Tamandua tetradactyla: one gene and its partners. The protein of the gene in region 3 interacts with the protein of the main gene of each other region in a biochemical or structural test. Links are inferred from orthologs where the notes say so. Each region holds a gene or a part of one and is shown on either strand. Other genes may lie near its edges. The genes, in order: REV3L, ubiquitin D-like and MAD2L1.

The links.
Region 1: the proteins of MAD2L1 (region 3) and REV3L form a complex in vitro, tested with the Homo sapiens proteins (2 studies listed by BioGRID). The link is inferred for Tamandua tetradactyla from reciprocal best matches to the Homo sapiens genes MAD2L1 and REV3L.
Region 2: the proteins of MAD2L1 (region 3) and ubiquitin D-like form a complex in vitro, tested with the Homo sapiens proteins (2 studies listed by BioGRID). The link is inferred for Tamandua tetradactyla from reciprocal best matches to the Homo sapiens genes MAD2L1 and UBD.

The regions. Positions count from the first base shown.
Region 1 is NC_135331.1:170,322,152-170,332,819, reverse strand, and holds the start of REV3L (DNA polymerase zeta catalytic subunit), read left to right. Parts: upstream 1-6,730; 5' UTR 6,731-7,244; coding exon 7,245-7,383; intron 7,384-7,865; exon of another isoform or gene 7,866-8,758; intron 8,759-10,668. UniProt on the Homo sapiens protein: Catalytic subunit of the DNA polymerase zeta complex, an error-prone polymerase specialized in translesion DNA synthesis (TLS). Lacks an intrinsic 3'-5' exonuclease activity and thus has no proofreading function.
Region 2 is NC_135331.1:84,202,039-84,211,873, reverse strand, and holds ubiquitin D-like, read left to right. Parts: upstream 1-5,929; coding exon 5,930-5,956; intron 5,957-7,214; coding exon 7,215-7,682; downstream 7,683-9,835. Other genes in the region: putative olfactory receptor 2I1, read right to left, coding at 9,448-9,835. UniProt on the Homo sapiens protein: Ubiquitin-like protein modifier which can be covalently attached to target proteins and subsequently leads to their degradation by the 26S proteasome, in a NUB1-dependent manner.
Region 3 is NC_135348.1:48,645,155-48,654,931, reverse strand, and holds MAD2L1 (mitotic spindle assembly checkpoint protein MAD2A), read right to left. Parts: upstream 4,822-9,777; 5' UTR 4,667-4,821; coding exon 4,594-4,666; intron 3,887-4,593; coding exon 3,740-3,886; intron 3,346-3,739; coding exon 3,225-3,345; intron 2,447-3,224; coding exon 2,343-2,446; intron 1,669-2,342; coding exon 1,496-1,668; 3' UTR 787-1,495; downstream 1-786. UniProt on the Homo sapiens protein: Component of the spindle-assembly checkpoint that prevents the onset of anaphase until all chromosomes are properly aligned at the metaphase plate.

The DNA of each region.
Region 1 (10,668 bases), on a different chromosome or scaffold from region 3:
TACTACAATATAGCCACACTATTGAATAAAATGGAAGATATGGTCTTGTTAAATTACTATCCTGGGGCAGGCTACAGTGACTCAGCAGCAGAGTTCTTGCCTGCCATGCCGGGGACCCAGGTTAGATTCCTGGTGCCTGCCCATGCAAAAAAAAAATTACTATGCTGTTCTGCCTGTTCCCTAGTTCACAGAGATGAATGAAAAGACATTGACAAGACAGGCTATTTCCTAAAATAGAACTACTAGTATAGAGACCTTATTCAGAAATTTTTTAATAGAGTATAGGAATAAAAGTAACAGATCTGCAGTTAGGAGGCAAGCATAGGTCCTTGCTAAATAGGCTTCCTTTCTTTGGGCCTCAGCTTCATCTGTAAAATGGAAGCAATGAAAAGGAGAAAAACATGGTTGTAAATTGAACTTTCAATTTTTAACTCAATAAATGTTACATACATACATACATATATATATTTGAAGCCAGGATATAAAAAAAGACATGGTCCCTTCCATCAGGTAGATACATCTATTAGAATGACAAATAAGAGACTATAATAATATAAGAGTTATAACTGAAGTATGCATAAAGGGCAAGTGGAAGTGGCATTTTAGCTAAAATTGGAAAGAGGAATTGCCAAAGGCAAGAAGGGTGACGGTATTCCAATAAGAAAGGCAAAAGCAGAGATTCCATGCTTTTACAAAAAGAATGGCATGTTTGAGGAACTATAAGTACTTGAGTAGTTCTCGAGGATAAAATGGAAATGCAGGTGAAAAAATAGATGAAATTGGATATCTAGGCCAAACTCCATGAGGCTGTTTGCCATGAAAACTTTTTATACTTAAATTTATGTAGTAGACAGATTATTCTTGCAGTAGTGTGGAAAATAAGATTGGAGGGGAATGAGGCAAGAGATCAATCACTGCAGTCATCCACCTAAAGAGATTACGTGGACAGGCATGGGGATTATTCAGCAGAGAATGAGTGGGACTTTAAGTCAGAATGTTGGGGGAATTTAAGCTAAGGTTTATTAAACATTTTGCTAAGCACGTTTTTTGTAATGCCTCATTTACTCCTTATAACATCCCTAATAGGGATAGAAAACAGGCCAATTTGCTAAAAGCTAATTTGCCAAAGAATCACTTTGCTAAATTTACTAAAGACTTGTTTTAGGGTGTATTATCTTGAATATATTTAATAATGAATTCTTTGGCAAAATTACTTCTTAATGAACCAGTTTTGGTGAAATGACCTAGAACTTAATGTCAGCATATACAATTATTCCCATTTTACTGAGGAGAAGCTGAGGTACACAGTTAGCAAAAGAAGTGCCAGGTCTTCAGAGCCAGAGTTTTTAATCCCTAAATGGCTAATAGTTATAGGGATGAAGGAGATGGAATGATCTGGGACATCTTGTTTCAGCTATAATATGCCACGATGTTAATATTCTTAAATGAAGAACTAAAACTTTGAAAAGCAAAATAAATAGAATTCAGTATAATATGAATATCATAGCTTGTTAGAGCAGATTCTTTAATTTTTCTTTGGAGCTTTTTTCCCATTCAGCAAAGTGATGAAAAAATATAATGAAGGTAAGATGGTTCTCTTTGCTTTTATGTGGTTACTCTGCTCTTTTCTTAACTTACCAGAAATTGTCTTCTGTCTGGAGTCAACTACCAATTATATGCATGTGACACATAAAACACACTAATGGCCTCTAAACTTTCCTCCTAAACATTTGTTTCCTCACCTACATTATAATAAATATGCATAATACAAGGCTATTCAAATTCTGTAGATGCCTGTTACCACAGTGACAAATGAGATAATATATGAAAGTTAACCATCAAGTGCCAGTAAACCTATAGGTGGTATTATTTTTCTGACAATGAGGAAAAAAGTCCAAAGGTACAAGGGAGCATGTTTATGAGCAGAGGAGATTTGTGCATTGTGTGTATCTGTTCTTGTGCACCGTTTGCACATAGCCTTCAGGAATTCCTCAGAAGTGCAGAATTCTGGTGGATTTCAATGTGTGGGAATTCAGAGAGAAACAAAAAAAAAGTCAAGACAGGAACTGCAGAGCATTAAACCAAGCAAAGGGCCCTGTGTGACTGTACAGGTAGTGTGCCCATGAAGTGGACCCTGAGCTCAGTATTTCTGCTTTCCTTAGTTATGAGAGTTTGACGTATTTTTAACTTGACTCTGTATTTTGCTCTGCTTATTGACAGTCCCTAGCAAAAACCACACATGACTTTTCTCATGTCTACAATGATTATGATTCCTAGCTGCAGAGTGGAGACCATTCTAGGAGTTCAATGGAGAGCAGTAACCCTTCTTTGGGGACAATGAGAAATGAATGGGGCATTTCCAATTGTCACAGTGGCATGTGGCACAAGGGACATTAAATATCCTACACAATGAAGAAGTGTTCCATCCAAGATGCTAGGAGAAGCCCCTTGAGAAACAGAGTTCAGGGTCCACTTCATGGGCACACTAACTATACACTTGGGCATGCTACCTGTACAGTCACACTGGGCCCTATGCTTGGTTTAATGCTCTGCAGTTGCTGTCTTTAATAACTGTATGTTTCAACTTATGTTTTGTATGTTTGAACACAGGTAGAAGGTAACAGTGTTATGTCTGTGACTGAGTAAATGGAGGCACTGAGAGATGAGAGGTTATGCATTCCATGAAACTATAACCTGCTTCAAATGCAAGAATGAAGTCAATAGCATTCTAAGAAATACAAGTGACTGAAGAACCCTATTAATATCCTTTTAATTCATGTGGACTTCTCTGTATTAGCTAACCATTTATGCTGAAAATGATGACTGAGAAGAGGATAGATAGAGCAACCCATAGTTCTCTTTCCTTTTAGCCCTTCCTTAGAGAATGTAGGTAGGATATGTGCATATCACAAAGGGAAACAGAAACAGTTTAGCACTGTGCAGTGCTTACAGTATTCTGGTAAACGCAAAATACAGATGCATGAACAAGCTAAGAAATAAAAACTGTAATTTCAGTGATTCCACATGAGGTGAATGCTTTTGCATTTGCTGGTAAAAATGGCATTGCACAATATAAAGATGGATAAGAAGCAAATTTTAAAAGTGTCATGACAAGCTGAGGGAGAGATAGTGGAAGAAAAAAGCTTCATAATTTAGTGCATATAATGGCATTTTTTTCTGCTTTTGGAACAAGGGCTACACGTTTTCATTTTGCATCAGGTCCCACAAAGTATGTAGCTGCCCCTGGCTGAATTAGTTAAAGCAGAAAGGGATTAAAAGATATTATTTAGCTCATAGATCTCTGAGAATACCCAAGAACCAGGCTTGGATAATATACAGCTAAAAACAACATCCAGGAAAAACCAAACCAGGAAGAAAAACCATTCCACACCACATGGCTGTTCTAGAGGAAGCTCCTTCCAACATCACCAACTAGTCAGCACCTCTGACTCCTGAAATGGATACTTGAACTCCTCCCCAGCTTCCCAAAAGAACCACACATCTCCACCATGTTTTTTTCCAGAAGATCCCCTCTCCTTGAGTGTAGCATTATTTTGCTCGCTTTCATATCTAAACCTCGAATGATCACATCTGATTGACAGAAACTAGGTCATGCAGTAATGTGCTGAAGTTGGCGCCTGACTGTGAACTAACTTCACATTTAGAGGAGCCACTTTGGTAGCTTAGGGGTATCTATCTGTGTAATGAAAATTGGCTAAGGCTACAAATCAGAGTCCTCCTGGTTCCCCTGCTACTGTTAAATATTAACCAGACACCACTGGTTTCATGCCAACACTCTAGCTGCAAGGGAGTCTTAGAACCTTAGTTCTAATTTTCTAGCTTCTCAAGTACAGAAAAGCAAGCTAGAAGGGGGCTGGATGAGTGTTGAGTGAACAATCTTGGAGGATCTGCCATAAAATTGTGGTAGCTATTGCCTCCTGTCCTAGATTATAAATTGCAAACAAGATGCTAACAAACATTAAATAGGGTTGGTATTGAAGGCTGAGCAAGCCTTACAAAAGCATGACATGATGAGTATAGGTCAATGAAACAGAAGAGTTAATAAAATGTTAAAATACATTTCTGTGATACTAGATTATAAACTCTAAAAGGGCAGGGATCATGTCTGTCTTGTTTACCACCATATTTCAAATCACCTGACAAATGTGTGGCCACTAAACAACAAAAAGATATTTTAAGATATTAGGTATAGATTCAGAGTTCAGTTTTGGCATTTATTATATACTAGGTAGGTAAGACAATTCTAAGTGATTTTACTGTTTCTGGATGAGTTAGATTTCTGGATGTCGATAGTTTGCTATTACACGTTCACATACATTATCTCATTTGAGCCTTATAACATCCCTGAGAAATTAAGACAGGAATTACTATCCATTTCATAGCTGAGCGAACAAATTCCAAAAAATAAAATGACTTCCAAAATTTATTTGGCTAGTAAATAAATGATAGCTTATGATTCTCATGTCTTAACTCAAAATTTCAGTGCTCTTACTTCAGGAAAAGTGTTTTCATAAAATAAAATCGATAGTGATTAATTAGGGGAATGTTTTCAATTTGAGCATCAAAAACTAGATTACACGCAAGGTACAACATCCTCATTTCATGCTGCAAATGTTTTTCCTAGAGAGTGAACATTTTCTTGGAGTTCTAGGACTTGAACTATGGTTGTAATTGCCATTTCTTAAAGTAAATGATTCAAGAGGTAGGGGGAAAGAGAGCCTCTTCTATTAACAGCTAATCTGTGAATTTGATGCTTTTACCTGTTTCTAGTTAGGAAAAGTATAATTGAAAAATTATGGATGCACTTGATTATAAAACAGTACACAGGTTCTCAAATTTTATTTTATTGCTTAAGAATCATGGGGTAGAGAATTGGATTATTATCAATACAGATTACCAGGCCCTATTCCAAAAAAAATGATTCAGTAAGGATCAAAATATTAAATATTAAAAAACTCAGTACAATAGGACACTGAAATCACTGGAATTGTGCATGACATTTAGCTTGTATAAAATATTTACTAGAAAATGCATTTTTAGCAAGGTAGCCCTATTTTTAAATCATTTCTAAAATTTTGTATCAATTTAAGAATTTTTGCATCTTAATGTTTTTAGGTACTTCCTGTGCTTTAATAGAAATCTTGCCACCTATGTTTATAATTATGCTCTGAGGTTAAAAACTGCAGACTAGTTTACTGTGGTAATCAGTTTCAAATCTCCTGGTGTATAAATTCTTACTAATACTTATGTTTTGGAATTTATAGACAACCTATTTGCAGTGACCTGTCCTTTAAGCCTTTTGATTTTTCTATTTGAAGAGCCAAAATGTTTCCAAATGCGGATCTCCTAAAGTACTTTAAATATATGGTGACCGACTAACGCTTATAATGCACCTGTGTATTTGTGTGAAACAATGCTCTCTACTTTGAATGGATTGAAAATAACTGTCAAAGTCCTAATTCGGGGCATATTTTCAACTTGAAACATGGTTTCTGTCTCCTATTGCTTAGAATCATTTTGTTAAGAAGAAACCCTTAAGGATTAGTTTTAAGAAAAGCCCTCTCATTTTATGGAGTAGGAAAAGGAGGCTTAGAGAGACCAAATGACTTGTCCAAGGTCACGCCCAATGTTAGTGACCATATATATCGGACAAAAACCCATGGGTTCCAATTTAATGGCAACCCAGCTTCACCTGCTATTTCATCACCTCCTCTTTTTTGTTTTAATTCCACAATTGCCTTTCTACTTCATCCCTCTTGATTCTCGGATAAAGCTATTTTCTCTAATAGTTCTTTTTCGCTTTCTTGCCTTCGGGTTGTAGAACGTTGCAAAAGGTTTTAATCAGTAACACTTGGAGTCCACATCTAATGCGGGGCTTTTCCTTCGGCCAAAAATTTCTCTGAGAGTATCTTAATCCTGCATTCCGCTAGGGGAGGACCGGGAGGAGGGAAGTCACTGGGAGCTGACAAGTCCTTACATGTCCAAACACCCGCCCGAATCTCAGGCTGCGGGGCCGAGGAGGAAACCAAGGAAGGATATACGAGGGCGAGAGGGAAGGAAAGGGGCGGGGGAAAAACACCACGGTGGGAAATCCCAGTACACTGGATCTGTCAACCCCTGGCAAAGCTGAGCAGAGCCGGGCGTGCATAAATCTCATTAACTTGCCCGGCGCAGACACTGCAGCAGCAAAGAGGAGGGGCGAGAGGGGCGAGGCGGGTTGGGGCGGCGCACTAAGCAAAGCGCCTGAGCCGCCCTTTTATAGGCCGAAGCCCGCGCTCGCGCGTCCCCGCCCCTCCACCCCCCGGGCCACGCGCGGGAGCCGCGGCGCTACTTGAGAAGGGTCGGTTTCGCCGACCGCCCTCCCGCGAGGCCGCGAACGCACGAGATCTACGCCTCGCCTCCCTCCTCCCGCGGGCGGGCTTTCTTACCTTATAAAAAGCCGTCTCTGCCGCTGTCCCCTTCTCCTCTGCTGGATGTGAAATGGCGGTCCGCGAGGCAAGCTTGAGTACCGCAATAGTGGCCAATCCCGCGTAATCGCCAAAACGGCCCTGAACACTGGCACTTCCCTCTCGCAAGCCCCTTGGAGCCCATCCATGACATCGGCGCTCCGTTGCCCCTCACCCAGGTGACCGTGCCCACCGGCCGAGTCATCGATACTCCGCGCCAGGAGCGGGCCTTGCTTTTTGCCAACCACCTCCCTCGCTGCGTGCCCGCGGGCGGGGAGAAAACTCTCTTGGCGCCCCCCTCAGTGTCCCGTTCGGACGCCCCGCTCCCCTCCCTTTCCCATCGCGTTCCCTCCCCCAACTACTCTTGGCCCTCCCTTCACCACACACACAACCCTCTTCTCCCCTCCCCCAGTGGTTGCGTCCGTGACATCATCATCATGGCAACAAGAGCTGCAGCCTGGGACCGAGGAGCCCGTGTGATCCCCGGCGGCGGCGGTTGTGGCGGCAACACCAGCACCGACGAGACCGCGAGGGCTTCTCTCTTCCTGCCCCTCGCAGGGTGCTCCTGAGGAGGCGGCGGCAGCAGTGCCAGCATCGCCCCGCCCGCCCGTCGCCGCTCCTCACGGCGTCTGTGTGTGAAGGGAGGGGGCGCCGCCGCCGCTGCTGTGGGGCCGCCTTTGCTGAGGGATCCGGAGCCGCCGGAGCCGCCGCCGCCGCTACTGCTGCTGCTGCTGCCGAGTTGCTAGTGAAGGGGAGGCGGTGGCGGCGGCGGCGAACATGTTTTCAGTGAGGATAGTGACTGCCGACTACTACATGGCCAGCCCGCTGCAGGGGCTGGATATCTGCCAATCCCCCCTCACCCAGGCCCCTGTCAAGAAGGTACCAGTGGTGCGAGTGTTCGGAGCGACCCGGGCAGGTAAGCGGGCGCGGGGCGCGGGCGGGAGCCGGCGGGGTGCCCGGGCCGCCCTCCTCGCTGCGCACACGCGCACACGCCGCCGGCGCCGGCCCTCTCTGGATCGCTGCTGCGTCTTCCCTCCCCTCCGCCCTCTTCGCCTTTCCTCTCGTGCATGACAAGAGGCGCAAAAATGTGGGTCCGCGCGAGCGCTGCGCCCCCCGGGCGGGGAGGCGGGGAGGCGGCGAGCCCCGAGTGTTTACACTGCGCGCGGCGGAGTGGAGCTGGATCCGCACTCGCGGGTCCGGGGCTGGGGGGGCGAGCTTCGGCGAGGAAGGGCCAGGTGGCCGCGCCATGTCCTCAGTGCCTGGGTTCGCGTGGCCCGGCTCTTGAGGTCGCTCCCTGGCGGGAGCACGGACACCCTCTGCGTCTTCCAAGTGCTCTTTTCTGGAAATAGCCTTATGAGGAGAGGGGAAGTGTCAGCTCTGCTGTCAGTCGCTCTTTTAGCAGCGCTCTCCTCTGCCCCTGCCGGAGATGCTGGGGGCTGGAGAGAGTGGAGCCTGGGGCCAGATAATCTTTTTTCATTGAAGCGACCATGTGGTTCTGCGGTTAGTGCAGGTCGTGACTCAGAGGCTGGGCGGCTTTCTCAGGTGCATTGCTTTCAGGAAAATGTGAATTGTTGGAAGCAGGAGATGCGTGTTTGTTTCCTAACACAAATCATCCTATTTAATGAGTTGAATTTATTAGGAAGCACAGCTAAACCCAGCAGCCCAAACATGGAAAAATGCCCTTCTGTTGGGTAGTAGTATTGCCATTTGAATACGCACATTAAGAAAGCAATAATAATATTTTGAAGAAAGAATGGGGTTGGGAGCCAGCATTGAGAGAAACTATGTGCTCAAAAGCTCTTGGGAGTTTATGATAATATCAATAGGATAGTGACCAAATTTATGAGGTGTTTTTAATTGCTTTGCTTTGCTTCATCCTTTGAACTGCCTACGTGAAATAACGGAGCTGCCTCCTAGAAGGAGGTGCCCTCACCTCGTAACCATGTATTGCTCTATGGGATTTTAAATAGCGTTTCCCACTTGATGCTCCTTGCCCTCATCACCATTCATCTTATTACTGTCAGTTTCTGTGCACTACCAAGATAATAGTACTTTCCCAGACATAAGCTTCCTTCTAAATAATCTTTTATTGTGAATTCTCTTTGTTAAAAATTTCAGTGGAGTTAGTGAAATTTGGTAGAGTATTCCTGTTTAAAATAATAGCGAAAACGATCTTGATGATATGGACCATGTAAGATGGAGAATTTGGTGTTAGCAATTCGTTGAAAGTGAAACACTTGAAACTTGGATCACGTTGGAGGCTGGAAAATAGATGCAAAGTGTTCTGAAGGGTAGGTTTTTTGCCCTTTGAAATACATAGCCGTGCTGTCTTTATTTCTAATGGGAATTTCTGTGAAATATACTGTTTGTTCTCACTTCAGGTGCGGAGAAAGGATAAGGTAGTGATGTTGATGTAGCTCTGTTCAGCAGGTTTCCAAATTATAAAGTGAACATGCTAATAGAATATACTGTGACATTTCTGTGATTTTCAGCATGTATGGTTTGAGTTACCTTTCTACACTTTTTTTTTCTTTTATATGAGTCATCAAATAGTATCCCTGAGTGATTTTCAAACTCTGTGTTTCAGGAAAGTTTTGTTTGTTAAATAAATGAATTTCACTGTAAGCTACACTAATTCTATTATGTGAGAGAATACTCTTTTTAAAAATAAAGACCATGAAGTACTTTTACATTTTATGAATATAGTAAAAATGGAAATGTAAATTATTTATACTGTGATGAAAACAATTATTTCTCCCCTCCTGGACATCTTAAATTGACTACCACCACCATCACTTTGAAATGCATAATAAATTAGAGTTTATAGCTTTCAGAAACGAATCCAAGATTTTTAGTATGTCAGAAACTCCCAGTAAAATTACTGTTAATTAAAGGTAAACAAATTGCAGAATTGTCTACTTTTGTATTCTGTCCCTAAAGAAAACCCATCCATGTCATCCAGAAAAATGGCCTGTTTGGCTTAGTAAAAGTCTGAATTCTAGAATTTTTAGTGGAAACAGATTTGAAAGTATAAATTATATTTATATAGACTAATAAAGTGAGTTAATGAAAATTTGCAACACATGGAAAACCTACTCTACATTAACGTATCATCAACAAGTCTTTCACATATAGGAGTTAAGTTTGGAAACTTTTATTTCTCTACTTTGGCTTGGAAAAAAAATGTTTTAAAACTGAATTCACTTTACAAATGAGATTCTCAAAGATAGTAGAAGAAAAATTTCTCAAATTAGGTGGTCATTTCAGAATTATAAATTCTAGTAGAGAGTGGATCGAGACAATTTTACTAGTCCAGTTTTTCTACAATTGCATCAAGTGTTTTTCTGCTTTAGAAAACAGTCCAGTTGACTTCTGATTGTCCTGTGATTTGAGGACATAAAGAGTAATTTAAAAAACAAATTAATAATGCGTGTTGGGTTTTAAAAGTTCCTATATCTCTAGTTGGTGGGATTTGAAAAGGTGTAATAAAAAGTGGCATATTCATATTTGAAGGGTAAATTCTAACTGAATGATTTAATCCTTTCCTGACTGAGGATATTGAATTCTCAGAGTTACTTAAATTTTCTTAGTGTGAGTGATGGAATTTTTTTAAAAAGCTCATCTGCTTTTAACTTGTTAAAAAAATGTCTTTAACGTTGTTTTGACATCACAATGTATTAAGCAATATCATTTGTAGAAATGGTAATTATATAACAACATTTTGGTAACATATTAATGGAAGGAAGTAGTCATGAGTAATAAAAACACAGGACAGTGTTTTTTTACTTATAATGTGGGTATAACTCCTTTGGGAATTCACTTCACCTAAAATCCTGAAACTTCACTGTGAGGATTTGACTCAGGTGGGCCTGGGAAGGTGTTCACATCTTGCTTAGTTGCTTGATGTAACTCACTTCATGCTGAACTGGGCAGCTTTCTTAGTTTTCCCAGCACCAGGTTAAACAGAATTGTTCTTTCAAAGGAAAAGGGCTTTCCTGCTGAGATGGAGAGTAGGAGTAAATAGGAGAGTGTGAGATGTCCACAAAGCAGATAATTAAATGAAGTAGACCAAACAGTCTATAGAGGGAGCTGCTTGTCTTTAAGAGTACTGTAAGACATTCTGCCAATCTCCCCTCTAAACCTTCCTTTAGCTCAGTGAGTATTTTAGTAGATTGTTCTTAATAATGACAAACATGAAATC
Region 2 (9,835 bases), on a different chromosome or scaffold from region 3:
TTTCTTGTAGTTTTCTTTGTATAGGTCTTTTGTCTCTTTAGTTAAATTTATTCCTAAGTATTTTATTCTTTTAGTTGCAATTGTAAATGAAATTCGTTTCTTGATTTCCCCCTCCGCTTGTTCATTACTAGTGTATAGAAACACTACAGATTTTTGAATGTTGATCTTGTAACCTGCTACTTTGCTGTACTCGTTTATTAGCTCTAGTAGTTTTGCTGTGGATTTTTCCGGGTTTTCGACGTGTAGTATCATATCGTCTGCAAACAGTGATAGTTTTACTTCTTCCTTTCCAATTTTGATGCCTTGTATTTCTTTTTCTTGACTAATTGCTCTGGCTAGAACTTCCAACACGATGTTGAATAGCAGTGGTGATAGTGAACATCCTTGTCTTGTTCCTGATCTTAGGGGGAAAGTTTTCAATTTTCCCCCATTGAGGATGATATTAGCTGTGGGTTTTTCATATACTCCCTTTATGATTTTAAGGAAGTTCCCTTGTATTCCTATCCTTTGAAATGTTTTCAACAGGAAAGGATGTTGAATCTTGTCAAATGCCTTCTCTGCATCAATTGAGATGATCATGTGATTTTTCTGCTTTGATCTGTTGATATGGTGTATTACATTAATTAATTTTCTTATGTTGAACCATCCTTGCATACCTGGGATGAATCCTACTTGGTCATGATGTATAATTCTTTTAATGTGTTGTTGGATTCGATTTGCTAGAATTTTATTGAGGATTTTTGCATCTATATTCATTAGAGAGATTGGTCTCTAGTTTTCTTTTTTTGTAATATCTTTGCCTGGTTTTGGTATGAGGGTGATGTTGGCTTCATAGAATTAATTAGGTAGCTTTCCCTCCACTTCAATTTCTTTGAAGCGTTTGAGCAGGACTGGTACTAATTCTTTCTGGAATGTTTGGTAGAATTCACATGTAAAGCCATCTAGTCCTGGACATTTCTTTTTGGGAAGCTTTTTAATGACTGATTCAATTTCTTTACTTGTGATTGTTTTGTTGAGGTCATCTATTTCTTCTTGAGTCAAAGTTGGTTGTTCATGCCTTTCTAGGAAGTTGTCCATTTCATCTACATTGTTGTATTTATTAGCATAAAGTTGTTCATAGTATCCTGTTATTACCTCCTTTATTTCTGTGAGTTCAGTGGTTATGTCTCCTCTTCCATTTCTGATCTTATTTATTTGTGTCCTCACTCTTCTTCTTTTTGTCAATCTTGCTAAAGGCCCATCAATCTTTTTGATTTTCTCATAGAACCAACTTCTGGTCTTATTGATTTTCTCTATTGTTTTCATGTTTTCAATTTCATTTATTTCTGCTCTAATCTTTGTTATTTCTTTCCTTTTGCTTGCTTTGGGGTTAGTTTGTTGTTCTTTCTCCAGTTCTTCCAAGTGGACAGTTAATTCCCGAATTTTTGCCTTTTCTTCTTTTCTGATATAGGCATTTAGGGCAATAAATTTCCGTCTCAGCACTGCCTTTGCTGCGTCCCATAGGTTTTCATATGTTGTGTTTTCATTTTCCTTCGCCTCGAGATATTTACTAATTTCTCTTGTAATTTCTTCCTTGACCCACCAGTTGTTTAAGAGTGTGTTTTTGAGCCTCCATGTATTTGTGAATTTTCTGGCACTCTGCCTATTATTGATTTCCAACTTCATTCCTTTATGATCTGAGAAAGTGTTGTGTATGATTTCAATCTTTTTAAATTTGTTGAGACTTGCTTTGTGACCCAACATATGGTCTATCTTTGAGAATGATCCATGAGCACTTGAGAAACAGGTGTATCCTGCTGTTGTGGGGTGTAATGTCCTATAAATGTCTGTTAGGTCTAGCTCATTTATTGTAATATTCAAATTCTCTGTTTCTTTATTGATCCTCTCTCTAGATGTTCTGTCCATTGATGAGAGTGGGGAATTGAAGTCTCCAACTATTATGGTAGATGTGTCTATTTTCCTTTTCAGTATTTGCAGTGTTTGCCTCATGTATTTTGGGGCATTCTGCTTTGGTGCATAGATATTTATGATTGTTATGTCTTCTTGTTGAATTGTTCCTTTTATTAGTAGATAGTATCCTTCTTTGTCTCTTCTAAGTGTTTTACATTTGAAGTCTAATTTGTTGGATATTAGTATAGCTACTCTTGCTCTTTTCTGGTTGATATTTGCATGAAATATCTTTTCCCAACCTTTCACTTTCAACCTATGTTTATCTTTGGGTCTAAGATGCGTTTCCTGTAGACAGCATATAGGAGGATCCTGTTTTTTAATCCATTCTGCCAGTCTATTTCTTTTGATTGGGGAGTTCAGTCCATTAACATCTAGTGCTATTAGTGTTTGGGTGGTACTTTCCTCTACCTTTTTCCCTTTTGTATTTTACATGTCATATCTAAATTTCCCTTCTTTCTACACTCTTCTGCACACCTCTCTCTTCTGTCTTTTCTTATCTGTCTCTAGTGCTCCCTTCAGTATTTCTTGCAGAGTTGGTCTCTTGGTCACAAATTCTCTCAGTGACTTTTTGTCTGAAAATGTTTTAATTTCTCCCTCATTTTTGAAGGACAATTTTGCTGGGTATAGAATTCTTGGTTGGCAGTTTTTCTCTTTTAGTAGTTTAAATATATCATCCCACTGTCTTCTCGCCTCCATGGTTTCTGCTGAGAAATCTACACAGTCTTATTGGGTTTCCCTTGTATGTGATGGATGGCTTTTCTCTTGCTACTTTCAAGATCCTCTCTTTCTCTTTGACCTCTGACATTCTGACTAGTAAGTGTCTTGGAGAACATCTATTTGGATCTATTCTCTTTGGGGTGTGTTGCACTTCTTGGATCTGTAATTTTAGGTCTTTCATAAGAATTGGGAAATTTTCAGTGATAATTTCTTCCATTAGTTTTTCTACTCCTTTTCCATTCTCTTCTCCTTCTGGGACACTCACAACACGTATATTTGTGCGCTTCATATTATCATTCAATTCCTTAAGTACCTGCTCATGTTTTTCCATTCTTTTCCCTGTAGTTACTGTTTCTTTTTGGATTTCAGATGTTCTGTCCTCCAGGTCACTAATCCTAACCTCTGTCTCTTGAAATCTACCATTGTAGGTTTCCATTGTTTTTTTCATCTCTTCTACTGTATCCTTCATTCCCATAAGTTCTGTGATTTGTTTTTTCAGGCTTTCCATTCTTCTTTTTGTTCCTTCCTTGCCTTCTTCATGTCCTTCCTCAATTCATTGATTTGGTTTTTTTTTTTTTTTTTTTTTTTTTTTTTTTTTTTTTTTTTAGAGAGAGGGAGGAAAGGAAGGAAAGACAGAGAAGGAAGGAAGGGAGGAAGAAAGGGAAACATTTTAAACATTTTCTTGTTTTATTATATTTTGTTTGTTTGTTTGTTTTTTACATGGGCTGGGGCCGGGAATCGAACCGGGGTCCTCCGGCACGGCAGGCAAGCACTCTTGCCCGCTGAGCCACCGCGGCCCGCCCTGATTTGGTTTTTGATGAGGTTTTCCATTTGTGTTCGTATATTCTGAATTAGCTGTTTCAGCTCCTGTATCTCATTTGAACTAATGGTTTGTTCCTTTGACTGGGCCTTATCTTCAATTTTCCTTGTGTGATTTGTTATTTTTTGCTGGTGTCTAGACATTTAATTACCTTAATTAGTTTATTCTGGTGATTGCTTTCACTTATCTTACCTAGGGTTTTCTTGCTAGATGAGTTTGTTGTCTACCTGTTATTTGACCTTCAGTTCAGCTTTTTCTGGGCCTGTAGCTTAAGTTTTGTTTAACAGAGGGTAATTTTTCAGTTCTTGTTTTCTTGTTTCTTGTCCTGCTTGTAAGGTGCCTTTTCCCTCCCCACCCTTAGGAGGGTCTACATAGGTATTACAAACTCCAGCCAGGTTTTCCCCGACTAAACTGGCCTCCTATCAGGGGGAGGGAGTCACCTGCATAAGCTTACCCTGAGGGTGAGTCCCAGCAGGTTGAAAGACTTTCCTGTGAAGTCTCTGGGCTCTGTTTTTCTTATCCTGCCCAGTATGTGGTGGTTGTCTATCTGCAGGTCCCACCACAAAAGATATTGTGGCTCCTTTAACTTTGGAAGGCTCTCCCTGCTGGGGGCGTGGTGGAGACAGAGAAGAGGTTTTAGGCTGGTTTTAATGGCTTCAAATTGCCAAGCCCTGGGTTCTGAATTCCTTGAGAGAGGGATTCCACCTGAGTTGGGCTTCACCCCTCCCCTGGGGAAGGCTCAGCCTGGAGATAGCCCTGAAGCCATCCATTTCTGCATATGCCTGGGGCAGTTGTAACCTGTGTAGTCCTGCCGCTGAATCCAGAGGCAGCCAAGCCTCCATAGAAACAGCCACAAAAGCCTCCATTTCACCCCCTTTCCTCTTTTTTGGTTAGCCCAATAAGCAACCTCTGCCTTGACCAGTTTCGCCTGAGCTAGGGGCCTATTTTACGTAGTCAGAATTTGTTTATTAATGCCACAATTGGTGTTTGGTTGGACTCAGTCCCTGCTACTGTTAAAATGTCTTTCCTTTCCCTCTGGGAAGCCACCTGTGGGGGAGGGGTGCCACACGCCGGCTGCCACGGCTTGGGGAACTCACGGTTCCAGAGACTCGCAGCCGGTCCAGCTGGTCTAGACTGGGGTACGCTGTGTGTCCAGCTACTATCGTGGCTCCGGGAGCTGTTATGTACTGTTTCTGGTTATTTAGTAGTTGTTCTGGAGAATGAACTAAAATGTGCACATTGCTAAGCTGCCATCTTGGCCCCCCAACTTGACATTCTTATAGGCATTTTACCCTGAGAAAAAAATATCAAAGCACTTTTAATAAATTATATATTTATTTAAAAAAAACTGCAATGGAGGGATGGTTTGGAAGACGCCAGTGGTTAATTTGAAATGTTAAGAGGGTTAGAGTGATCCAACAAATCCCTTGTGGGTACACAGCTCAAGCACTCCCTTTTTGTCTCAGTTTAATTCTCAAGAGCAAGGGAGTGAACAGCATCTTTAGGTGTTTTCTGAGATCACGGTAGTAGGGAGAGTCCTAGGGAAAGGGAGAGCATTGGATGCACCATGGTATGAGAGTGGCTGTGTGAATGTGTTGGTGTGCGGGAGATGGGAGTCAGCATTCCATTGTTGGTCTTGGGTTGTTATGAAGTAATAGATTTGGGTTGCAGGCTCTGGAACAGGGTAGGTAGTGTGCTTGTGAGTTCAAAACTCAGAAATGTAAAATTCTCTGTGAAGACATTTTATAAATATTTTCCTAAGCCTGGAAGACACTTAGGAATCCTCTCTAATTCTCTCATTTCCTTTTTAGACAAGGAAACCAACATCCAAGGAGGTAAACAGACCTGCTCAAGGTAATATAGCAAGTGACACATCTGGGACTCAAACTCATGTCTCTTCTCAGTCTAGGGTTATTTATTATATGTCCTCTCAAGACAAGTTCCACACATTCTGCCGCTGTGAACAGGCCACTCAAAACACCATCCCTGACTGTCCTCTTTTAGGTGCCCTAGCTCTCAGGACAGCCCCTGACTGATGGAGGATTCATAAAAGCAGCAGAGGAGGGTCACCTAGCAGATTAGGTCTTCATGCCAGTGAAGCTCAGAGCTGAGAGTTACACAATCATAAATCAGGACTAGGAGGGTGGAGGTGGGGTGTTAACAGAAGGAAACTCTGAACAAAGGAGGACCATACTGTGCTTCGAATGAAGTGTGTAAATGGATTGGTGAGGGGAAAAATGTCTGATCAAGAAAGTATTCTGTTTTATTGACCCCACCCCAGCAAAAGTGAGAGAAAATTTCTGAGACTGTATCAAAAACAAAGGGTACAGTAAAGCTGCCTAAAGATAAACACAACAGTCCAGGCAGGGGATTTCCACCTCGATTACCTGTATATAGCTGTCTTTTTCTCATCTTCGTATTTCTACTGCCTTGACTGCAGAGATGGCTCCCAATGCTCCCTGCGTCTGTGTAAGTTGGGACCTGAGAAGGGTGGGGAAAGGAAAAGCACCTTTAATTGCTCAGGGGGGCACAGATTTAAGGAACTGAATAGGGATGGTGCTCAGGGAGTAGGATAGCCCAGAAGGCAGCTTGAAGGTGAGCAGAAAGGAATTATTTTCAGAGTGGGCAGAAGGTTGTTGTGGAGAGAAGTCATACATTTGGCTCCTGATTTCTGTTTTGTGTCAGATCTTGAACTGTTAGGGATAAATGGTAGGAAGTGGACTAGACTTTGTGTTCAACAGGGCTGGCAAATTATGGAATTTTTTTCTTATGTCCTTTTCTCCTATCCTGATTAAGTATTCAGGGTTCTTAAGTTTAAGCTTCCCTCTCCTCCCAAAGGAAATCTTCATTTTTCTCATGTTTTTAATGACCCAATATATTACCTTCAATAAGAACATATGCATTATGAAGACAACCTGGAATGTGGGCATCACTCAACACAGAGTAGAGACACTCCAGTGGAGGAATACTAACACAGTCTGTGTCGTGTAAGCTGGGGAAATTTTTTTGAATGGGCTATGAAGGAGCTCCTCCCAGGCTTTTGGGCGATAAAACAGGAATGAGCTGCCCATCTTTCAGAATTTTCCAGTTATTGAAGTAATACTCGGATATAGTCTCCATCTTCCGTGAGGCTCTGGTCTGATTATATAGATCACGTTCTATGATAGGTAGATACAAAAACAAGAAAAAAAAAACTGGCATGTAACATTGAATATAATGTCACAGAAATATGTGACATCATTATAAAGTAATTAAATGTTAAATCAGATAGTAACAGCAAAGCGATTGTGTCCTAACCAGTTTCCTTCCAAAGTAGTTGCAGAACATCTCCATGAGTATCCAAGGAGGCTGTCAAATCTTGAAAACTTTTTGGGAGTTGTTTTTAGAGTCTGGTGTGCATTTTTTTTTAAGCTTTCTAGTTGGATTTATTTTTTGACATTTGCCACATTTTACCTCAATAGGAGTCAGGAAAATAAAGTGGGAAATCATTAATGATATTTTGGGATAAATATAGGGTGTGGTTATGAAGAAATGAGCCTTCTCTTGTTTGGCTTATACCTGGGTCTGGAGGCAGTACCAAAAGAGAAGTGCCAAGAAAAGAAGGGTCACTGATTGGTGGGAAAGAGCAGGAGTGCTTAGCAGGCAGTAGAAGGGGAGGTGCAATGAAGGTAGGGTTGAACGTGTGGCAGATAATCTAGGAAGCCACCTCTAGGTTCTCATTGCCAAGGTGAACATTCATTCCATGGAATGGGAATTAATGACCTTCACTGCCAACATAAATGACTCAGTGAAGATAATCAGTGAACATATCAGTTCTAGGACCAAGGTTCCTGTGCAGGACCACGTCCTGTTTTTGGGTCCGAAGACCCTAAAGCCCCCAAGAAGGCTTTCATCTTATGGAATCGACAAGGAGAAGACCATCCACCTCTCCCTGAAGGTAGTGAAGTCCAGTGATGAGGAAGTTCCCATATTTCTGGTGGAGTCAGGTGATGAGGGGCAGAGGCAACTTCTCCAGGTGTGGAGGTCCAGTTCAGTGGCTCAGGTGAAAGAGATGATTGACATAGACCATGTCAGGCCCGAGACCCAGACTGTGACTTGCAATGGAAAGAGACCAGAAGATAGGAAGACCATGGCAGATTATGACGTTAGAAAGGGGAATTTACTCTTCCTGGCATTTCCTTCAATTAAGGGATGATTGCCCTTGTATTGGAGTGATCTCAGGAAAAAAAGTGACTATTTCCTTTTAGCTTTTACTCACCAATCATGTCCTTTATTAGTTTGCCAAGAGGAATAAATAGATAAATATAGAATTTAAGATTTGGGTGGGGTGGGAAGGAAGACTGCAGAATACCTTTTCACCTTTATTATTCTTTGATTTTAACATAATTATAAGGCAGGATAGTGTATAAGGTGTTAATGAAGATAGAAATGAACTGCCGAGGCTCATGAGAGACAACATTCAAATCCAGTTTGTAATTTAGTTATTTCATGGTTCCCTTTGATTCATAGAGAAACTCCTATTTCCTTTCTTATCTGACAAGACATTAAGTTTTAAATTGGGATCCCTGCTTTTCTAATTTCTATGTTTTCCATTTATGTTTGACTCAGTGCTTCATGTAAAATATCACTCAATAGTTGCTGAACTAAACTGAATTTCCATGGAGAACAGTGAAATGAATTATTAACTGAACTCTGACTAGATCACAATCTAATTCATAGATAAATTAGAAGTTAAATTAAACTTTCTTTCTCTCTATTTAAGGCTGTTTGATATAAAGTGAAACCTGGCACAGAAATGCCTTGCCTACCCTGCATGTCCCATAACAGTTAGAATTGTTCTTATTTCTGTAGATGACAGTGGGCATGGCAGCTCATTTCCATGGGGAGCTAGAGAGTCTGTGCCTCTTGTGGGGACTTCTTGGGGTCAGATGTGTTTCAGGAGGGAATGGACTTTCTGAAAGGTGGAGGAATGTGGACAGTCTCTGTCCTGTTTGTCTTACGGTGTGGCAGGTCTTCTTTAGGTCAGGTATCAGTCTGGATGAGGGGGTAAAGGGTTGACCTCTGGCCTGGCCCCAGAACTCTGCCAAGTTCTGCTGAAGGGGCCTTTTCCTTTCTACTTCCTTCACCACCAGGTCCTGCTCCTCTCTTGGAAACTTGAGTTACGTCCTCCATCTTACTCCCTCCATTTACTCTTCTGCCTCACAGCCTGACTCTCAGGTCTTGCTGATTGTCACTTTCATCTTTTCTCACAACCTGAGACATGCCTACCTTATTCTTCATGAGTTCTAGTCCCTTCTGTTCTTTAAAAATTGCTCAGAACCACTTCCTATAGGTGGGTTTCCCAACTTAACCACACCCAGGAGAACTCATCACACTTAGGAGTGTTCCTCATTACTCTTCTGGGTCAGGTGCCCTGTCGTGGGCACTGGTCACCTGGCCAGGTGGGTATTATGTCCCCGTTTGGATGGTTTCCCCAAGAAGAGGCACCATGGCTCCTTTTTTCTGGATGGAGTTTCATGCAGGGTAAGGTTTATGAGTTCCTTATCAAACTGAGAACCCCTGATAGCAGAAACTGGGAGAAAGCTAATAACGGTAAGCTTCAAGTCACACATCATCTCATGCACACATGGAGTCTGCAGGGATTGTTACTTGTCTCCTGAGGATAAGGAGATCTCCCGAAATCATATCTCCTCCCTTATCAGCTTGGGAGAAAAGTTCGAAGGCCATTTCCTCCTCCCCAAACTTCTATGTAGAGAAGATATTTAGATTTTCCCTCATGAATCTGAACACTACCTGAAAATGGGAAGGGTTAATCTCCCCCATTAACGTTGGGTTCCCTGAGGACAAATCTTGCAGATTTTCTATCAGAAATGAACAGCTTGAAGCGAAACTGACTGACTCTCCAACAGCATTTCTATTCCTGGGTCCTGGGCTGACAGTTTCCTCCTTCCCTTCCCCATTCACTGTCCAGCCTGCCTTTTCTCCAGGCTCCCCAGGAACCTCCTTGCTGCCCCCTTCACCTCCTTATTCCTTAGAGTGTAGATGAGCGGGTTGAGGGCGGGCGTGACCATGGTGTAGAAGAGCGAGACGAACTTGCCTTGCCCTTGATTGTAGCTGTGCGTGGGTTGCAGGTAGGTGTAGATGGCCGAGCCACAGAACAGGCAGACGGCGGTCAGGTGGGCCCCACACGTGCCCATTGCTTTCCTCCGGCCTCCGCGGCTCCTCATGCCCCACACAGCGCGGGCCACGGCGCCGTAGGAGGCCAGGATGACCGCGGACGGCAGCAGTAGAATGACCACGCGGGCGACGAAGATCTGGCGCTCAGTGGATTTTTCGTCGCCGCCGCAG
Region 3 (9,777 bases):
AATAAAAGGTTAATACCCACAGGTGGGTGAGCCATATCTCCATGGAGATAACCTAATCAAGTTTTCAACCTAAAGCACTGAATAGAGATTAGAATTGGTTATTCCCCCATGATGGCTTAGGATTAAAATACAGCTCTTCTAGGGTACATAAATCCTTTCAAACTGGCAAAAATGGCTAAATTTTATGTCTGCTTGATAATAGTGAAGATTAGTTAATACAGTTAACAGCTTAGAATAATGCCTGATACTTTATAATAAAGTGAATTATTACAAACTGAAGGTTTAGAGTCAACATTAAAAACGACTTCTTGTAAGTGTGCTTTAAACTGAAGGCAAAAAATAGGTGGAACCTCAATAGAAAGTATATATATGATGAGACTATTAAGGGAGGCACAAGCACAGGAATAAGTATGGTTTAAGCAGTATACAAAGAAAACTAGGCTGACAATAAGAAAAAGAAGGCTCTATTAGGGTCAGTGAGAATCTTAGAAATAAGGAAAGAATGTAAGACTAAAAGTATAGAAAGGTATTAAATCCAACATTTGCTGAAGTGAACTAATTTAAAATGAAAGTTATCTTTTTATCCAAAGAAGGATGTTTAAGTATATAGTTATGATGTGACAGGGGTATTATCAAAATTGTCCATTACAGTCAAAGTACTTCAAGACTCTTATATCCTTAGGACCTAAAACCTTGTAATTACAATAAATCATGTGCTTTACTGAGCCCATCTAGCTACCATTTAACTGTATTAACACATCGATATCAAAACATTTTAAGACAAACTTAAAACGTACAAATTTAACTTTATTTCATCATAGTCATTTAAAGCTTGATTTTATAATGTCCAAGATATTTTGAAGAAGCGTTCTGTAGCAAAGGAAATTTAACAGTAGAAAGATCCATGGCTTTACAGGTACAAGTTATATACATTAAAATCAAATTATCAAACATTTTTTCAACATAGGAATTATACAACTAAATAAATGGCAAAAGGAGCTAATAAAGCAATGTTTCATAACTGGTGTTATGTTTGCTCCTTTCAGGATCTGAACAAAGATTCTAAATATTCAGATATTTTTTGCTGTATTTTACATTTAAATATCTCCTTACCTATATTCTGATTCAAGCTGTTCAGCCAAAATCTATGATTTAGGATGTCCTTTAGCTTTATAGCAAAAGTTTTCTCATCTATGCTGACAAAATCAGCTGGTTCCCTTTGGAACAATGTGCAATATGCTTTTGTGTTAATCTATTTAGCCCAACACGTTAACAAAGGGAATAAATACCTTACTCTCCTCTAATCCATGATGTTAATCCTATGGAGAGTCAAATCGGTGGTAAAAAATGGAACAATTATGCACAGTTCATAAAGTATAATGTTGATTTTTCCCTACCTATAACCAACAAAATAAACCTATCATCTAGAATTGATTTAGTTTCAGGAAAACCACATTTGAGAATTGCAAGTACATTATTTTTCTCAACTCATCCCTCAGTCATTGACAGGAATTTTGTAGGCCACCATGCTATTTACTTTGTGAATTGTAGTAGTAAATGAACGAAGACGGACTTCCTCAGAATTGGTGATAAACTGTGGTCCTGACTCTTCCCATTTTTCAGGTACAACCAAATCTTTGTCTGTATAAATCAGTAGATCAAAAGAACCTAAATTGGGGATAAAATAGGTTATTGTAAATTATTTTTTCAAAAGCAAAACTACTCTCCTTATCTCCCTTACTTTAGGTCCAAAGGGTTAAAAAAAAAAAGATGGTTTAACCTGAATGCTAATCACTAATTTATTTTTCTCAATGGAAATTCATTTTAATACAAAAAATACCACACTATTCTACCTAATCTGAAGAGAAATTCAAGATTTTTTTGTTTTTTTCAAAGAGGAAACCATTTCTAAGATACACAGTAAGTTTATAATTACATAAGACATGAATGTAAGGCACAGGAAAGCTAACACTTTGGTTTGGATCACGACTATATCCTAGTTGCCCAAACAATACCTGGCATATACCAGGCATTGAATAAATATTTGATGAATGAAGGACTAAGTCTGAATAGTCAGACATAGTTATAGCATAATCTTACTCATATAAAATTAAAAAATTGAAAGGAATTACATCAAAACATTCAAGAACGAGTATTATGAAAGACATTTCTCTTTTTTAGTATTTCCAAATTTTCTAGAATGCTTATATATTAGGTTTACTTTATATGTATATATACTATTTTCACTTTTCCCCCTACTTATAAACTAAAGAAAAAATGTAATAAAGGAGTGATTCTTAAATTAGTAGCTTAGTATGAGAAATTGCATAATATAAACTTACAAGAAACTTCCAATAGTGGCAGAAATGTTATTGTAGCTGTGATTTGTCTGATCACGGAACGAATTTCATCTTGGATAGCTTTCTGAGACTTTTCTCTGGGTGCACTATCAAGAAAATCAAGTCAATTCATTTTAGGTTTTAACAAGTCATTTAAAATATAACAATAGCAATAGCTAAGATTATCTGATTAAATGCTTCTGAAATAAGTAATGCATCAAAAAGAAGTTTAAAAAAAGAATGAACTTAGTAGGTACAATAAGCATCATTATTTCATCAGTTCTTCCAATCATAATATCAGGTCATTTAGTATCAGATGTTTAGAAAACTGCCAGCATCTCTGAGTTAGGAAAACTTCAAGACCTCCTAAAATAAAATTAATAAATGGTATCTAAAATCATTTTGGTACAATCATTTTGACATTTTTAATAATGCTTATATATCTACCTCCCAATTGCTTCAAATAAAATATCAAATTAGTTTCCTGAAATACACTAAAGGCTTTAGAAGCAAACCATGCTCCATAATGAGAAATAATTATGCTTCTGAGTTTACAGAAAAGCATATGTAGGACAATGGTGGACATCAGCATATAATGACAGGCACTTCTTATCCAGGCATTAGATTTAGACTTTTTTGAAGCACCTTAGGAAGTTCATAGCTTAAAGGAAATGCAGCAGAGCTGCATGTTAAGCTGGGGAGAGCCTAGGAAAATCTCTTACAGTTAAGAGTACCTTCAAGCACAATTCCTTAAATGGTCCACTTAGTACATCTTGCAATTTCACATGTAACACCATAAATACTAAAGTTATAATTTTAACTCATTTAGGAATGAAGACAAGTTTTGGAAAGAATACATCAGAGTAAAAATAATTTTATTCATACCTCTCATCTTTTGCAGTCTTGTCACACTCAATATCAAACTGCCATCTTTCAAGGACTTCACCACTTTCAATATTTGAGATGACCACAACCAGTTTTTGAACTGAACACTTGTATAACCAATCTGCAACACATAATAAGGCATTTATGTTTGTTCCACTACATTGCAAAGCAACCCTGCCTTTTCAGGTCCTTTTCCCTTTCTCAGCAAATTCTTACCACTGGTCTTTTGGAACTTGTCTCATTTGCTCAGATAACTTGTCCCATTAACAACCCAGCTCCTGTTCTAGTTCATGTAATACAAGATGCTGAGGATAGAATAGCCCCATTCAGAATGCAGAAGGGTAGGATTTCCCTCAATCTATATATTATTTGCTTCTTCTCATTGACAATAACAATATTTGAGAAGGTAGTTTGTTTTACCTCTCCCAAAGGGCTGAAAAACAGTCACCAAGATGCTAGAAAATCTGGATCTCAGAAGGGATGCAAAACTCAGACTGTTTACAACTAACAAATACCTTTTAGTTGGTCCACTACATTATTTAGGTATTTTATGAGCTCAGGATCTGTAGTTACAAGCAAGGTGAGTCCATATTTCTGCACTCGAGTAAAGGTTTCAGATGGATAGATGCCACGCTGATATAAAATGCTATTGATTCCAAAAGCTGAAAGCAAAAGAAATGTTATAGAAAAATCATTATCATTTTGTAACTTTGAAAATGAAACATCTATATAGATGTGGATAGTTTCATTAATGCTCTAAAACTGGAAACATGAACACGCAAATACCCCTACTTTCTTGAAAGCAAAATAGGTACAAAGTGGCATTACAAATCCTTGGCAAGACTTTGTCACCCTGTTTTCTCCCAAATCTTGCCAGGCACCATCAGGAGTCCCGACTACAGAAAGCCTGATCAAGAACACTGCTTCCCACAGTTCACGCTTGACTCAGAACTACCTGGGGGTGGGGTGCGGAGCCAGGAAAATATACACAGGGACCCACTGCGTCGTCCTGTGCCCTAAGCCCTGGAGTCCTCGGTCCCAGGGAAGGGCCGAGGGCGGGGCCGGCACTCACCCCCGGAGAAGGGCCGAGGGCGGGGCCGGCACTCACCCCCGGGAAAGGGCCGAGGGCGGGGCCGGCACTCACCCTCCGGGGCCCAAGCTCCGCCGCCGTCAGCAGCGCGCCGGCGCCAGTCTCCAGGACCTGCCCCTGGCTGAGGCCCTTCCTCAGCAGGAGGTCCGGAGGCTGCGGTCGGGTCGGTTCGCGACCGCCTGGCGCCCGTGGGCTGCCCCTGCCTCAGGCCCCACCTCGGCCTTCGCGGCGGCGCGGCCCGGGCCTCGCCTCTCCCGCCCGCCGCGGGAGTGGACTTACAGAAGAACTCTGCCACGACTTCGGCGCTCCCGCGCAGCGTGATGCCCTGCTCCCGGGAGAGCTGCCGCGCCATGGTCCGGAACAGAGAACGCTTCTTGAACAGCGAAGAGCGGCCACGGCGACCACAGCAGCAGTTCCCGCCGCTCGTTTCAAAAGTAACTACGCCGCACGCCGGAGAGCCTTTGCGCAGGCGCGTTGAGCCTCCACTCCTCCCTCCCGCCTCTGCGCAGGCGCGGCGAGCCTCCACGCCTCCCTCCCGCCTCTGCGCAGGCGCAACGAGCCTCCACCCGCCCTCCCGCCTCTGCGTAGGCGCGATGAGCCCCCTCCCGTACGCCTACCGCCCCACGCCGCGAAGCCTGTGCGCATGCGCGATCCCCTTCCGCCTCGTCCGGGCTTTTCCCGCAGGCGCGTGGGAGAGCGTGGCGCTCTGTGACGCGCAGGTGTTCGCGCGTGGGTCCTCTGGTCGCGTCAACTAGATGAAGCCGAGGGAAGGAGGGAGATCCTGATGATGTGGTCGCTCACTAGGCCTGTGGATCGCACAGGCGAGGGGCACACCGGCCCGCGGGACTGCCCGCCTGAGGCGAGGCGGCCGTGGGGACGCCGCCGCGACCCTGTGGGAAGTCGGACCATTCTCCCGACGCCTCGGCGAGTCGTCCTCCGTGTGTGAGAGAACTGGCCGGGGGTGAGAGGGCGAGCCCAGCCCGAGGTGGCGGAGCGAGTCCGGGCCGCGCCGGGGTGAAGGTCATCCCGCCGCGAGGCCGGTCGCGCCGAGGACGTCACGGCGGACTGGGCCCACACGTTCCGGGGCTCTGCCCGTTTGGGTGGGAGGGTCCGGAGATTCTGCACGAGTAGTCCCCATTCAGTTGTGAAACGATTTTCCTTTGAGACAGCCGGGGAATGGGCTCGTAAAATGCAAACCGAGGACTTTGACGTCTACCAGATGCTATGTTTGATTACGTAGGACGAGAAAGGCCTGGCAGTGTGCTCATGTTCTCGTTGCTGCCTAACACATCCCCGAGTTTTCACTAAGACCCCCATTTAGCCCTCGGCCTGCGGGTGAGAGTGCGGGAAGGGCCCGCCGACTCGAGCTGAGATCCGGGTGTCCGCACGCTGGGGCTCCGTCGGAGGGCGCGGGCCCCTCGGCCTTCTGGGCCTTCGGGTTTAGTCCTGAGGTCCAAGTGTCCGGCCTCTGCATGGACTCTGCCGTAGGCTCCCTCCCTTGGGGTCTCTGTGACTCCAGGACACACCTGAGTAGGTCAGGTCCGCTCAGACAATGTCTTGGTTAACTGGCCCCAGAAGTGACCTCTCTGTGGACGAGCTCTGCAGGCGGTCGGTCACATGGCCTGCTCGCCAGGCGACTGGACTCGAAGCCGTCTTGAAATCCCAGGGCTGGATTAGTTTGCAGAGCGGAGTGTGTGTGTCATGGGAGATGGGCAGACTTGATCCAGTAAGGTCTTTTCCTTACATCCTTTTAGTCTGTGTTTTGTTTTTAAATGACCAGTTTTGGTGTGAAGAGCAAGACATGATGGAAGGTGAAGAGTGAAGGGGCAAGGAATCTAGATGTCTCTCACCCTTTCTACCGGAGCTTGTGCTAGGGCTAGAATTCTGGTATCAAGCGTTAGGGCAAGGCACCCACCTTTTTCCATTTAAAAATTGCCTTTGTTCTTAAGAAACTTTTTGCTAAAAGCCAGCACTTCAGGAAAGACTTCCTTGGGTTTCATGATGATATGGGTTGTAAATTACTTGAAAATGTTAAGTAATTGTGCTATAACAAATTTAAAGGTTAGGAAAATATATGAGGTTTTCATGTATAGAAGAAATATTTATTTAATGTTTTCTTTGTACTCTGAGAAGATATAAGAAATGAGTAAGACTTGGAAGACGTGGTTTATGCCAATAATTAATATTGTTTAAATATGCATTCTCTAAAAAATATTGAAGGCTCTCGAATTTGATCTTTTCTGGCTTTTGCCTACCTCTGCAGCTCCCTTTCAGATTACTTTTCTAATTTGTCTGCCTCTTTTAGTAACTTTGCATTCCATTCCCTTTTCCACCTCAAGGCTTTCCATAATAGGCTGTCTTCTACCTAGAAAGTTTATTTTGCACTTGTGAATCCCTAATATGCTCACACCCCTTCTTAACGTAAATGAAGAAAGTTTCTGTGACCTCTCACGTTAAGGTCCTTTATGTATTCTCATAGCCTCTCATAGAATTGCTTAAAAGCGTTTGTTGCATTGTAAATAGTTATGTAGTGATTTATATTATATATTCCCTATTTTTGTGTAGGATTGGTGATGGCATTTAGTGAGTGCCCCACAAATATTTGTTGAATTAATAAACATTTGAATATTTGTCTAGAAAAACGAAATGGAACAACCCAACAAATATTTTCATCTGAGAGCAGGTCGGATGGATGAGGTAAGGCCACTTTTAGCCATCTTTGAATACCCACCTGGGTTGATTAAATTAGAGGCATCATGGAGTTCTGGATTCTTAGGGTTGACATAAAAACCTAGCACTAGTTATGTAAAAATTTCTGAAGGTAGAATCAAATGGAATTTTAGAATTGATGTAGCTTAATTAATGACTTAGTTGCATAATCTGAAATGAGAAAACTTAGGTTCATATTGACTGTATAATTATGCTGAGTTTTTAGTAGTGAAATCTATACAGTACCTGACTTACTCTTAAAAATGATGTCTGTTTGAAGATATGCTTAAAGGTGCTCTTTTTTTTTCTACATGTTACTTTGAAAAAATTAAATGAAGTTTAGGCTGTTTTTTAACTCAATAGTATGTATACATAACTTGTTACAAAGATTGCAGTTCAACTCCAGTTTAATAAATTTTATGTTAATACAGAAATAGTTCCAACTACCAGAAGATGGCACTGCTTGCATGTGAAATAATGCTTTTTAAAAATTCAATCCGAGTGTCTGTTTAAGTTAAAGGTAAAATAAATAAGTAAATAAAATTATTTAAAGCAGGAGTAGGCAAACTAAGGTCTACTGGTCAATTCTGAACCAAGGCATATTTTTGTATGGTCCACAGCTAAGAATTTTTTGAAGAGATTGTTAAAATATAAAAAAGAGAAGACTATGCAACAGACCTCTGTGGTGCAGAGAACTTAGCATTTATATTCTAGCTGTTTACAGAAAGTTTGCCACAAAACTGATCTAAAACACTGGATAAAGTAATGAAGTAAAAATGAGTTCGGTAGTTTCTGAGGTAAACTTATATATGGAATACTTAAATGAAATGTTGCATCATACTATATTATATAAAACTGATTTTCCTTCTTTTAAACATTATATGCACATATACACAGACATATTTATACATACTTGTATATATGAAATCTTAGTATATTTTATGTTTACATTTAATTTTCATATTAATTTATTACCTGGAATTGAAAATATTTCAGTAATCATTTTCTCATAGACTTATGATAGTTTCCCATCAAATAGCCAGTTATTTTATTTATAAGGTCAATATCTTGAAATAAAGCAGTTTGTTCTAAATCTGGTAAACAGTGGTGTACTTTTCTGTATGATTCCTTTGATAAGACATACATCTACCTATTTGATTATGCTTGTTTGTAAGATTAACTCTTGTTTTTTTAGAACATTTTTGTCCTAAATCTTAGGATTATTCTATGTGTTATATCATTTAGATTATGTCTTATTTTATGTGAAGGACAGGAATGAAAATAAATCGGTTATTTTTTACTCTGATTACTTGGGCTTCATTTTGTAGACCTAATATATGTTTATATATTTTTATATACTTAAGGATTAAGCTGAAAATACAGATCTTGTAAAGTTCCAATTTCCCTCATAGTAAGTTTTTGATCATTGGCCCACATGTCCCAAAGATAGCACAGTGAATTTGAATCATGACTTTTCATAGATAAGCAATGGCTTAATACAGTAAAAAATAGGTTTTGAATGATCTAGTTGTATATATAGGATTTAAAAATTTTATTCTTAGTACAAATTAAGTGCTAAATATTAATAAAACATGTTAAGATGAAAAACCCTAAGTTCATAAAATGAAAATACAGGCTATTTCATAACAGAAAACATGTTGCATAATCCTTTATTATGATAGGGACATATAGCCACATATAGAATTTTCATAGCTCAAACATGATTAGCTACCAAAAGGTATACTTTCAAAGGTAAATAATAATATCTTGATTTAATTCCCAGAGCCTTTTTGATGGATACATTACAGATATATTTAACTATACATTAAGCTATAGTTTCTCCCTTAATTTCCCAATTTATCCATTCAAAATATGTTCTGTAGTTCATTGGGTTTCAAAGCACAATATATTTCAAAGTCACGATTGAAATTCAAAAGAACTCAGAACAGTTTCAGATATATAAACTGCCAACACAAAGCCTCTGTGAAGAATTAATAAACTATGATTACTATTAGAATTAACAAAAATAAATTTAATGTGTTAGATGCTTTTTATAATTATGTATTAAATTTGGGCAAACATTTTATGCATATATGCATATGGTATATTTTAGCTAGTTGCTTGTGAATATCTTGTGCGTGGGTTATTTTTATAATTGCCAGATAAATAATATAGGTGAATTAGTTATGCTAAATCTACTAATAATAGACTTATATGTGATTTAAGTAGAAAAATATTTTTGAGAAGTTCCATACACAGAACAAAATTAATAAATCGTAACTTTATTTCTTTCTCAAATATTTGTCAGTACCATTTATAATTATAGGCATTTGAAGGAGCAAAAAGCATTCTGAAAACAAGAAAATCATTTTACTGTAAATATATTTTGTCTATTTAGAGAAACTTGGCTTTTTCAACTGAAATAGTTTTCTATGACTTGTCTTGTGTTTATAGCTCATTCAAACAATGCAGTAGTCAAGCAAAATTTATCAAGTTACAGATCAGTCATGCACGTTAATTCTATCTTTTGTATTGGAGTTTTCTGTTTATAAATAGAATATCACAGTGTTTCTTATTCTTGAATAATGTACATAATCCTTTAGCATCAACCAGTAACCTAAAAGGCTTACTGAGCTCCAGAATTTTGGCTTTAAATTTGAAGAACTAGTGGATGAAAATTAAATGGTGTCATTTCATGATAGCTTAGTCCCCAAATGGATGTAAACACAGACTCTAACTTCTTGGCAGTGAAAT